Drosophila melanogaster: one gene and its partner. The protein of the gene in region 1 interacts with the protein of each later gene in a biochemical or structural test. Each region holds a gene or a part of one and is shown in the gene's direction. Other genes may lie near its edges. The genes, in order: Sbf and Rab21.

The links.
Region 2: of the proteins of Sbf (region 1) and Rab21, one has a biochemical effect on the other in vitro, tested with the Drosophila melanogaster proteins (one study listed by BioGRID).

The regions. Positions count from the first base shown.
Region 1 is NT_033777.3:11,792,937-11,800,118, reverse strand, and holds the start of Sbf (SET domain binding factor), read left to right. Parts: upstream 1-3,170; 5' UTR 3,171-3,275; intron 3,276-3,624; 5' UTR 3,625-3,683; coding exon 3,684-3,738; intron 3,739-3,809; coding exon 3,810-3,913; intron 3,914-3,982; coding exon 3,983-4,303; intron 4,304-4,362; coding exon 4,363-6,398; intron 6,399-6,464; coding exon 6,465-7,182. Other genes in the region: ClC-a (chloride channel-a), read left to right, coding at 31-1,128, 1,222-1,266, 1,355-1,390, 1,576-1,845, 1,972-2,001, 2,080-2,313, 2,372-2,677.
Region 2 is NC_004354.4:23,010,626-23,016,255, reverse strand, and holds Rab21 (Rab21), read left to right. Parts: upstream 1-2,846; 5' UTR 2,847-2,961; intron 2,962-2,991; exon of another isoform or gene 2,992-3,120; 5' UTR 3,121-3,149; coding exon 3,150-3,213; exon of another isoform or gene 3,214-3,274; coding exon 3,275-3,879; 3' UTR 3,880-4,116; downstream 4,117-5,630. Other genes in the region: Coa7 (cytochrome c oxidase assembly factor 7), read right to left, coding at 1,393-1,803, 2,148-2,437, 2,575-2,674.

The DNA.
Region 1 (7,182 bases):
CTTTGCAGATGCTGATCTTCCTTTTTGCAGTTTGTGGTCTCCATTATCGCATCCACGATACCAGTTCCGTCGGGCATGTTCATTCCGGTTTTCAAGATCGGTGCTGGCTTTGGTCGTCTGGTGGGCGAGTTCATGGCGGTGACATTTCCCCACGGCGTCCGGTATGGCGGTCGTCTCTCGCCCATCATGCCCGGAGGCTATGCCGTCGTCGGAGCGGCCGCCTTTTCTGGCTCCGTGACCCACACGGTGTCTGTGGCGGTGATCATTTTCGAGATGACTGGTCAGATTACGCACGTGGTACCCGTCATGATTGCTGTGCTGGTGGCCAATGCCGTGGCGGCGCTGCTCCAACCGTCGATATACGACAGTATTATATTGATTAAGAAGCTGCCCTACCTGCCGGATCTGCTGCCCTCCAGTTCCGGGATGTACAGCATATTCGTCGAGGACTTTATGGTGCGGGATGTAAAGTACATATGGCACGGCATCTCGTATCAGAAGCTCAAAGAAGTCCTCAAGCTGAACAAGACGCTGAGATCCTTGCCACTGGTGGACAGCCCGGACAACATGATCCTGCTGGGTTCCGTGCAGCGGTACGAGCTGATCAAAATGATCGAGAAGCACATTGGACGCGAGAAGCGAATGGAGGTGGCCCAGAAGTGGCAGAAGGAGGCTCAGGAAAGAGCCCTCGAGGAGGAGAAGAAGAAACAGGAAGTGGAGCTCAAGATGCGGCGACCATCTCGATTCGAGGTCCTTCCAGCTCCGGATATTCTCAGTTTACGCCAGATTGCCAACGACGAAATGCTGCCGCCCAAGAAAAGGGCGGAGACAATGCACGGTTCGCTGGCGCCCAGGAAGTCCATTTTGAAGAAGACCAACTCCTTCAACCTGAAGACCTACGCGCAGCCCATGGGGCACAGTCCCAGCATCACGCCCTACACCACGATCACCGGCAATTCCGAGTTCCGCATTCGCTCAGCCTTCGAGGCCATATTTAAGAAGTCCACCACGCTCCAGGACGTACAGCCGGATCCGGAAACGGGTTCCCTCTCCCCGGCGGCAAGCAACCACGAGGTGGAGGTGCCGCGAACTCCTAGCACTCCCGGTGTTTCCAAAAAGGTTCAGCTGGTAGGTGCATATTTTCTATTTACCGCATAAAAATTGGGTTTTGGGTTATCTAAGTTGCTGAGTAAACCGGAAGAGGAAATCTCTCTTTTCAAGCCTGCACAAAGTAATTGGGATTTTGTAACAGATCAAATTATGCTGGTAAGTTACTCACTAACAACATTCATATCATATCATTTCATTCATTTTCTCGGAATATGTGTGTTTAACTTACTTTAATATCTGCAAGCAAGTAAACCCTATTTCAACGGAATCAAATAAAATGGTAAGCCTTAAAACGAAGTAAAATTATAAAATAAGGGTAGTATCCACGCATGAAGTAGTACTATGGGCCTTTTTGAAGTAGAAGAAATACTTAATAATTTCAGTGGAAGATTGAAGTAGAGTATTGCCAGTTTAAAATATCTATCTATACATAATTTTGTAATCTCAAGATTAATGTTTAAAAAGCCTGCCGAGAAAGATTTCACGGATAAAGCATTATCAAATAATGGAGATAGTTCAAAGCAATCACCGAGCATTAAATTCAAAGCAAATAAAGTGGCAGATGTAAATAGATCTCCTCAGACGGCCAAGAGGTGCTCGAAAATAAGGTTTGCTAACGAAGTTGGAGTAAATGGTTCGCCCACTCGAACGAAATGTAAAATAAAACCAGAAAATGTATTGGGTTACTCTATAGAGGATGTGGATGAAACAACAAATCCAGAATCGCTGGCTGAGGTATGTAAAACTGATGCAAACTTTTGATTAATATCTATTGTCAACGAGCTTACAACGCATTATGAATCATTAACTCTCAAAGTTAACATACACATTTTCTCTCCTATCTTGTAAATCCCAAATAAGAGCATTCAAAAGCCGAAGTCGGTGCGATTGGTACGTTTAGAATATTTTAATTACATAACCCCTTATTTCAATCAAGATATAATATCTACCGATTTGATTGATTTACAGCCCAGGGAACGTGTTATTGACATGTCACCGGAGGATCAGAAGCAATGGGAGCTCGAGGAAATGTTGAAGCCCATCGATTTGCAGAAGGCCAATGTCCACATCGATCCCTCGCCATTTCAGCTGGTGGAACGCACCTCCATACTCAAGGTTCACTCGTTGTTTTCCATGGTGGGTATTAACCACGCCTATGTCACCAAAATCGGAAGACTTGTTGGTGTCGTGGGACTCAAAGAAGTAAGTCTTGTTTGATATCCTTGATGATTATAACAATAACACATGTTTTATTAAACAGTTGCGAAAAGCCATCGAGGACATTAATAGCAATAGTTTCGTGCCCCCCACACGGGATGAGGATGCGGATGAGAAGCCGGCGGTGGAGAAACCTCTGCTGTCGACGAACTCTAGTGATAAGGCCGTGGACATGACCGTCACCTCCATGGACTCGGCACTATCCAATTCCGAGAACTGTTCGGACATTGAAATGGAGCACATAAAGCACACGGATAAGGGCACTGTATCGCTCACCATGCCGCCACAGGAATCTAAGCAAAGTCCATCGGCGGACAAAAGTAACACAGAAAACGGAAATCATGCTTGAAACAAGATGATCGGCCATCATAATAGTTAATACGATACGTATACGTAATATGTTTGTAAAGATCAGCTAAACACATCTATCTTAAGTTACGTCTTACACGAGTTAGTCATCAATGTTATTATGTATTTATATCTCGTTAGTTCATAATGTGAAAAATATCGTGATTTATATTTAAGTTGAAAAGAAAATCAAGTCACCAACGAAGGCTGCGTTTGATTTTTATTTATATACTGGGGAGTATTAATGTAGTATACAAGTTTCCTATTTTTCCAACAGATTAATTATATTATAATTTCCCCAAAATTGTTTAATGAATATTTAAGGCTAAGTGGAAATTAATTTTGCCATTTTCCAATTGATCTTTTAAGTTCGCGCCGATTAATTTGTAGCGCAGTCCGAAACTATCGATACATTCAAAGCGCCAATCAAATATCGACACATTCAATCAGCTGATGCAGAAAGTGTTGGATAATTCGTGAAAATTATTGTGTATTGCATCTATCTTTTTCTATGCGAACTTAAAAATAATTATTATAGCCCCGAATTCTTTGAGATTTGCTGGCAGTTAGCGGGGATTTCGGCTGCAGCCGGCTGCGAGGTGTGTGCGCGGATATATATATATAGATTGGCCAGTCCGATTCCCGGCGAACGATCCCACTTTGCGTGGCGGGGTGTGGTTAAAGAAAAAAGAGTGAAGACCAAGACTCGTAAAGCCTGAAAAACGCCTCCGGGCGCTATAGACAATACAATAACAATTCGGCCCCTCGATCTCCGTGGAGCTAATCATTTATGCCGAGCGCAGAGACGGAGCCTAATTAGCATATCAAATTGGATGACGGCACTGGCGAATAGAATCCATCTGCCGCTGTCCCCTGCTACAAGAACGCAACAGAACAAAAACAAAAAAAAAATCAAAATAAAACATCTTCAACTCTTTGTTCTCCTAGATTTGGCTAGTAAAGAGCCGTAGGATCCTAGACGACTGGCCGGCTATGTGGTGGGCAAGATGTCCCGGCTCGCTGATTACTTCGTAATAGTCGGCTACGACAGTGATAAGGAGAGTGAGTACATCCACATGCCCATCAGCCATAATTAGCAATTCTCTGACATTCAACAATTTCCCTTTTCCCAGAAACTGCCAGCAATGTGGGCGGCCAGCCGACGTGCGGCAAGATCGTTCAGCGCTTTCCCGAGAAAGATTGGCCGGACACTCCGTTTATCGAGGGCATTGAATGGGTGGGTGCGCTTGAAACATTCCTCACTTAATTCGAAGCATATCTGAATTTTAACTTATCATTCCGACAGTTCTGCCAGCCGCTCGGCTGGAGTTTATCGTACGAGAAGCAGGAGCCCAAGTTCTTCGTCTCTGTGCTGACGGACATCGATGCCAACAAGCACTACTGCGCCTGCCTCAGCTTTCATGAGACGGTGGCCATCACACAGACGCGCAGCGTCGACGACGAGGATGAGACCATCGGCAGCAGCAGGCTGCTGGGAGCCACACCCTCATCGATGGATGGCATCACAACGACATCCACGCCGGCTTCCATTACGCACCACAGCGTCATGTATGCACCAAAGTGTCTGGTGCTTATATCGCGTTTGGACTGTGCCGAGACCTTTAAAGTGAGTTTAAAAGTCAGACCACCTAAGATACTAAATTAAGCCATTATCTTAATTTACAGAATTGTCTCGGCACCATATACACGGTGTACATTGAGAACCTGGCGTATGGATTGGAGACACTCATAGGAAACATTCTGGGCTGCATCCAAGTTCCTCCAGCGGGTGGACCGCAGGTGCGCTTCTCTATAGGAGCAGGAGACAAGCAGTCGCTCCAGCCTCCGCAGAGCTCCTCCCTGCCCACGACTGGAAGTGGAGTCCACTTCCTCTTCAAGCAGCTGGGCATCAAGAATGTGCTGATACTGCTTTGCTCCGTGATGACAGAGAACAAGATACTGTTTCTTTCTAAGTGTTATTGGCACCTGACGGACAGCTGCAGAGCTTTGGTGGCATTGATGTATCCCTTTCGGTATACTCATGTTTATATACCAATTCTGCCGGCTCCACTCACGGAAGTGTTATCCACACCTACGCCATTTATTATGGGCATACATAGCTCACTGCAAACTGAGATTACGGATTTACTGGATGTTATTGTGGTGGATTTGGATGGCGGCCTCGTTACCATTCCCGAGTCGCTGACGCCGCCTGTTCCTATTCTTCCATCACCGCTGTGGGAACAGACCCAGGACCTGCTCAGCATGATCCTGTTTCCAAACCTGGCGCAGGCCGATCTGGCGTTTCCCACATTAGAGCGGCCTTCAGCTATTGCTAAGACTGACGCCCAGATTGATAAGGAACTTCGCGCCATATTCATGCGCCTTTTCGCTCAGCTGCTGCAGGGATATCGCTCCTGCCTGACTATCATTCGGATCCACCCAAAGCCGGTGATCACCTTCCATAAGGCAGGATTTCTCGGCGCCCGCGATCTGATAGAGAGCGAATTCCTGTTTAGGGTGCTGGACAGCATGTTTTTCACGACGTTTGTCAACGAACGAGGCCCTCCCTGGCGATCCTCCGATGCCTGGGATGAGCTCTACAGCTCAATGAACGAACTGCTCAAATCGGAGGCGCAGAATCGAAATCTCGTAGGTAGAACTCAAAGATTCAAGGGATATTTTAATTTTACCTTTCCTTCCTACTTTCAGATACTCACACATATCCAGGAATTGGGACGAGTTCTATATGAAAATGAGGGCACTCTGGCTCACATCAGCTATGCCCAAAAAGTACTGCGTCCGCCGGAAGGCGCATTCCAGCGTATTCATCAACCAGCCTTTCCGCGCATAAGTTCGGAAAAGGTTGAGCTTATCATACAGGAAGGGATACGAAAGAACGGAGTGCCACAACGCTTTCATGTAACACGTAATCAGCACCGTATCATTCCGATGGGACCCAGGTTACCCGAGGCATTAGATGTGCGTCCCAATGTCCAAAACTCGGCTAGGCGACTGGAGGTGCTGCGGATCTGTGTGTCATACATCTTTGAGAATCGAATTACAGATGCCAGAAAACTGCTGCCGGCTGTGATGCGCACCCTAATGCATCGGGATGCGCGCTTGATCTTGTGCCGCGAGTTCTTTGGATATGTGCACGGCAACAAGGCAGTTCTGGACCATCAACAGTTTGAATTAGTTGTGCGATTCATGAACAAGGCGCTGCAAAAATCATCCGGCATTGATGAGTACACAGTGGCTGCGGCTCTGCTGCCCATGTCCACAATCTTCTGCCGTAAGCTCTCGACTGGAGTAGTGCAATTTGCGTACACAGAGATACAGGATCACGCCATCTGGAAAAACCTGCAATTTTGGGAGTCTACTTTCTTTCAGGATGTCCAAGGTCAAATAAAGGCGTTGTATCTGCTTCACCGACGTCAGAACGAGCATCAAAAGGAGGCCAACTGTGTGCTGGACGAAGTTCCTCTAGAGGAGCCCACGGCGCTTGAAATTACAGCCGAGCAGCTGCGCAAAAGTCCCAACATCGAGGAGGAGAAAAAAGCCGAGCTGGCCAAATCGGAGGAGTCAACTTTGTACAGCCAGGCAATTCACTTTGCGAACCGTATGGTTTCCCTGCTAATTCCACTGGATGTCAATGTGGATGCAGCCAGTAAGCCGAAACCGGCGTTTCGTCTAGAGGAAAATCAGAGTGTTTCCAATAGGTAATACGAGATAAGTTTCTAACTTTGATTTTATATTTATATATGATTTCAATTATTAAATTACAGTATTATGGGCTCACACAGCCTAAGCGAACATTCCGACGAAGGATTCGAGGAGAACAATGCTTTGGAAATAGGTGTCACGGTTGGGAAAACCATTTCACGCTTCATTGACTGCGTTTGTACCGAAGGTGGAGTGACCTCCGAGCATATACGCAATTTGCATGACATGGTACCGGGAGTTGTGCATATGCACATCGAGTCCCTGGAACCGGTATATCTGGAGGCTAAGCGTCATCCGCACGTGCAGAAGCCCAAAATTCAAACGCCATGCCTGCTGCCAGGGGAGGACCTGGTGACAGACCACCTGCGTTGCTTCCTTATGCCGGATGGACGCGAAGATGAAACCCAGTGCCTGATACCCGCCGAGGGAGCTCTTTTCCTCACCAACTACCGTGTGATTTTTAAGGGTTCACCTTGCGATCCCCTCTTCTGTGAGCAGGTGATTGTTCGCACTTTTCCGATTGCCTCCCTGCTAAAGGAGAAAAAGATATCGGTGCTGTACCTGGCTCATCTGGATCAAACGCTGACAGAAGGACTGCAGCTGCGTTCCAGTAGCTTTCAACTGATCAAGGTCGCTTTTGATCCTGAAGTAACTCCCGAGCAGATTGAGAGCTTTAGAAAGATATTGAGCAAAGCGCGGCATCCGTTTGATGAGTTTGAGTACTTCGCGTTTCAATCATACGGCACCATGCTCCAGGGAGTGGCTCCGTTGAAAACCAAG
Region 2 (5,630 bases), on another chromosome or scaffold:
TTTTTTTAATATGCTTAAAATATTATTGTTTTCCGTTAACAAAATCTTGCCCATTTCTCGAAAACAAATCATGACAATTACATTTAACCAATGTTTCTTTAATAGACAAATAATTGGGTATTATTGTACTTATTGTTTTAGAATTTTTGGCTACCAGGAAAAATAAATTTTTACCACCTTGCTAGAAGCTGTTTTTGTTTAACATAAAAATTTTAAAAAAGGCATTTAAGGTGTTTGATTGGTTGGTAGTAATACCAGAATACCTCATACTTTGAGCAGTAATGGTTCTAAAAGGAAATAGCTATTGTTATGCTTAAATAGTTTATGGCCTCTGACATTAACCGAACGCTACAAACCGTTTTGGTATAGTATCCCAATGAAATTTGAAAAGAAAATCGAATATTTTATACACATATTTTAATAAATTGTTTGAAGAACATTTGTTTTAAACTTTAACTTAAGTTACCTTAATAATTTGAAATTCGGATTTCTCGTGCGACTATTACCATGGCAGCTATGTATATGATAAGTAGACCAATTTTCATTTAGGTCCAGCCAAAAGCAGATATAGCAATTTCGATCCAGTTCCAGCCGAAATTTAATATACTGTATAAACCAAAAATAACTTTTTGATCAAAAACCCCGAAGGTTTCGACTATTTCTCTCAGCTACATATCTACATATATGATTCCATTCCGACTTATATTCTAGCTGCAAATTTAAAATATTTTGGGAATGTTTTATAAAGACATCTTTACGCCTGAAAGACTTGTATGTGTAGAAACGCAATAGTTTTTTAGACTTGTGGACGAAGCAGAATCACATTATTTTTCCTTTTACATTCTTTAGAACGAATGTAGTGCACATCTTCATGAGAAGGTATTCGAGGAAAGGACATGCAGATATTACAAGACGATTAATTACGTTATAATGTGCTAGATTTAAAAAAAAAATGAGGCTGTCGGATTAGCAGGCGATTCTGATCAGAAAAATGTACTGGTTCTTACATTAATATTAGAACAACAGTTTGTGCACAAGCAACCGTAACTAAAACACAATTAACTGAAGATTTTTGTCTACTTTTTTGGTAAGACTTGTTTGTATATTCATATAAGGTATCAACAAAATTTTTAAAGGGTTCATCATCACTTAATAACTTTAACAATTAAATCTAGGAATTTCCATTGTTACTTATTTTCTCTTTCTCGCTCTTTCGCATGCAAGTGCCAGCTATGTACACAGAAATCTCAAACACAAGTTAGTTAGCTTAACTACCAAAATTAGACTGACTGAAAATTACTGAAAAGGGCTAGAAGGTAAAGAAAAACCTGACCTGACCTGAAGCAAGGTCTAAAAACAGTAGCAGCAGATAATATCAGGAATCAAGCATTATCAATTAGGCATGCCCACGCCCTGCTGGAACCCTAACGTATCATGCTGCTTCTTCACCTCGTCCTGCATTTCTAGGGCCAGCTTCTTGTACTTCTCCGCTTCCTTTTCGTTCTTCTCGATCCCATCGCCCCGGGCGTACATCTGGCTAAGATTGGCACACGCATACATATTGCGAAGCTCGCAAGCCTTGTGGGCAAACTGGAAAGCCTTCTTCATGTCTTTTAGAACAATATAGTCGGAGTCCTTTAAAGGCGGTTGTCCGGCGGGGGGTGATGATGTACCACTTCCGGAGGATGCAGTGACAGCACTCTGATCCGCCTTCTTTTGCACGCCCGAGATGTGCATCCCGGAGAGATAAAAGCAGGCAGTGGCGTTGTTCAAGTCGCAGCTTTTGGTCAGAAACTCCAGGCCCTGCGGGTGTTGTAAAATTATAATGTCAAATCACAAAATCAAATAAAATTTAAACACTTTTCTGCTGGGGTCATATTGAACAGTTTTAAATTGGATCAAACTAAACTATATTCATACATATGTCTATACATCCATTGGAACATAATCAGAAAATTACAATTAAACGTTCAATTATCTGGACACGATACGAATGACTTATGATTTCAAGGATCAAATGAGAAACAGGTGGGGCAAATGAGAGAATGTACTGCAGCACATAGTTGCACTTTAAGCAAATTGAACAGTTCCAAGAGCTAGCCTTTTATTGAAGGCTTGGGACCGTGATCGCCATACGACACCTTTACCTTGGGCACATTCCAGTCGATCTCCCTAGGCATGGACTTTGAAACGAGCAGCAGGCCGGAGTGAAGACAGGCGTCCGAGTCGTTTAAGTTACAGCCCTTCTCGTAGTACTCGTAGGCCACTTGTGGATTCCCCTTGCTACCGCTCTTGCCTTTTCCAAGGAAACTGTAGTTGCCGTATTTGTAGCAGGACTTTGCGTAACCATAGTCGTCGCAAGTCGACTTGTACACCTTGGAGGCCTTTTCAAAGTCTTTCTTGATGCCCTCCAAGTAGTCGCCCAGCAAGTGGCACGCTGCAATGCAGAACGCCAGTTAGCTATCTCATAAATGCAATGTCTTCAAGCCCCGCGAATTGTCCTCCCGCACATCGGAGGTTATAGACCTCAATTGTTTTTGCCGCCGTCGCTATCGCTGCCGCCGCCGCACTCACCTTCCGGCTTCTTCTCGGAATAGCACCCGAATCGATATTCCACGCCCAGCTTTTCTACGTACTCCTTCACGTCTGACTCCTTCTTCAAGTCATAGGCCATGGTCAGCAATTTTTAATAGATAACAACCAAAAATTATTATGTTATGCTTCGTCCGGACCCCTGCGTGCTTCAGTGTTAGTAACGTGCAAAATATCGATTCATCGACACCATACTGCATACATTCGATGGTTTTATTGATATCGATGTTAGGCTATGCATCGATATTTTGCTCATAATTAAAACATGGTTTAATTTAAAATCGCTTAATTGTATTTTCTATCTTTCATGTATGACTGCGGCGACATTGAGTTCTCGGCCTTGCTTGAGGCCGCAGTGTGGCCAGATACGTATGTGACTTCTCGCTTATTCAACATTTATCGCCGAGTGCCATTACAATAGTGCTGGTAGACAGCCACACTGGCGGTCTCGTAAAAACCTAATCTTTTCGATTACCTCTTGTTTTTTTTTTGTTTTTCCGTGTCCTCTGAAAACTGATGCGTATCAAGGTAGGACACCTAGCTATTGGGAAACCACAATGAGCTCGAGCAGAACGAGGAACGGCCCCACGCTTAATTTCAAGGCGGTGCTGCTGGGCGAAGGTACGTTTAGCAGCTAAACAAACCTAATTAGTTCCTGAAAGCTTTAACCCCTTAATTGTAGGTTGTGTGGGCAAGACGTCGCTGGTGCTGCGCTACATGGAAGACCGGTTCAATGCCCAGCACCTAAGCACCCTGCAGGCTTCCTTTGTCAGCCGCAAGATGTCCCTGGAGGATGGGAGAAGGGCGCAGTTGAATATTTGGGACACGGCTGGTCAGGAGCGGTTCCACGCCCTGGGACCCATCTACTATCGCGGCTCCGATGGCGCCCTGCTCGTCTATGACATAACGGACCGAGACTCGTTCCAGAAGGTCAAATCCTGGGTGCGGGAGCTCCGGCAAATGCGCGGCACGGAGATTGCCTTAATAATCGTCGGCAACAAGACTGATTTGGAGGAACAGCGAGCAGTAACGCACGATGAGGCCCTTCAATATGCGCGCACGGTTGGCGCTCAATATGTAGAAACTTCGGCCAAGGAGAACGAGGGGGTGGCTGAGCTCTTCGAGCTCCTGACCCAGCTGATGCTGGAGCAGTTGAGCCAACGGCAACCGGATGCGAGTCCACTTCGCCTCCAGAATCCGGATACGGATAACCTTAACAACTCCGATGACTCGGAGGCCCCGGATCCCGGAGATCCTGCGGGCCAGCGGTCCTGTTGCGGCATTTAGCCGTTCCCATTGTGATAGTAATCATAACTATAAAATAGTAGACCTTTAACCGATGTTGATCTTGTGTATATATTATACATAGATAGATATAAATATAAATACGCGTATTTTTATTATTCCCTATTATGGATCTTTAAAATCCTCACACATTTTTGTTTATTAATAAATATAAATATGTATTTCATTCGATTTTCTTGCCCTTCCTGAGCGCCCAGTAATAAACAATCTTGTACTTGCACTTATCTTGTTTTGAGGCTTTTTGGGGGCCGGGCTGAATCATCGTTATCAGTTGAGGTGCTAATGGCTCTGCAAGGCGATAGGTGATTAATTTTAAACCGCACCAAGATTACAGTTTACGGCACTTTAAATATATGGTGCAATAGAAGACAATACATAAAGTTTTTATATATTTTTTCATAATTTTATGTAACGATCATATCATCGCAACAGCTTCTCCTATTAATGAAATTAATTGAAATCCAATTTCAAAACTGTTTTCGGCTACAATTAGTTACATATATAAGTATTCTAGTTTTATTTTGTTATAACAAAAAGTGAACGAACATATATGTATGTATTTACCCATTTAAGAATATATCCAATCTATAATATTCGGGCTATGTATGTACATATATGATAGTCTTCCATTTTATAACCGTTACTCGTGGTGTATATACTAGATATACTATATACTAGATTCGTTGAAAAGTATGTAACAGAACAGAACAACAGGCTGAAAGAAGCGTTTTCGACTATATGAGGTATATACATATATTCTTAATCAGAATCAATAGCTGAGGCGATCTAGACATGTCCGTCTGTCCTAGAGATATACATAGATGCCTCGCGAGATTGTTGGCCATATGCTGCCAAGCCCACTCTAACGCCCACAAGCCTCCCAAAACTGCTACGCCCACACTTTTGAAAAATGTTTTGATTTTTCTTGGTTTTATTGTTTGTTTTACCAATTTCTGTCGGTATACCAAAAACACTTTTGCCACGCCCCTCCTTACACCTACAAAACACCCAAAACGGTCACGCCCATATTTTAAACAATCAAACAATTTCTTCTAATTTTATTCCCCAATATCTATATACATATATATATGCCAGAGAAATGATGAAATTCGCGTCCCTACACCAGAGTCGAATGTCCAGCAGATTTCGCAGATTTGCGACCTCAGATTCTGAGCTCCATTTAGCTTTCAGTTAGTAGTCCTGTCTCTTCTAACTCGGTTCCTGAAGCGCTGCCTGGGCCATGTGAGAAGTGCGAGAGCCAGAAGTTTGATTCCAGGAGGTGGAGCTACAGGGCACGATATCTCTAATCTAGCCCAATGTTTTTCCAGCCAGGGTGGAGTGTGAGCTATGTATGTTTGGTAGTTGGGTTTCAAGAACATATCGGACCGGCAATCAATAATGGACTGCCTTATCGGGTTCGCACCTTTCGCCAGGGAACTACGGCTATTGGTACAGTGAAGGCGGCCAACAAGTTGCACTCAGCTATTTATATAAGGTGTTTAAATCGGTATTTATCAAGCGTACTTATGCCGTGGGGAATGTTAATTTTGTGTGTCTCTATCAATTGTATATAATTCGTAATTTGGTTTCATAAATACGTAAGCAATCCATCGCCATCTTTTTTATGTATTTAGGGAGGGTTCACTGTAGCTTCGAAGTACCTGGGTTGTTATCTGGTCGAGTTGGGCACATGTCGATGGCTGTTCGATCGGTACGGTTGGCCTGTGGGCCGC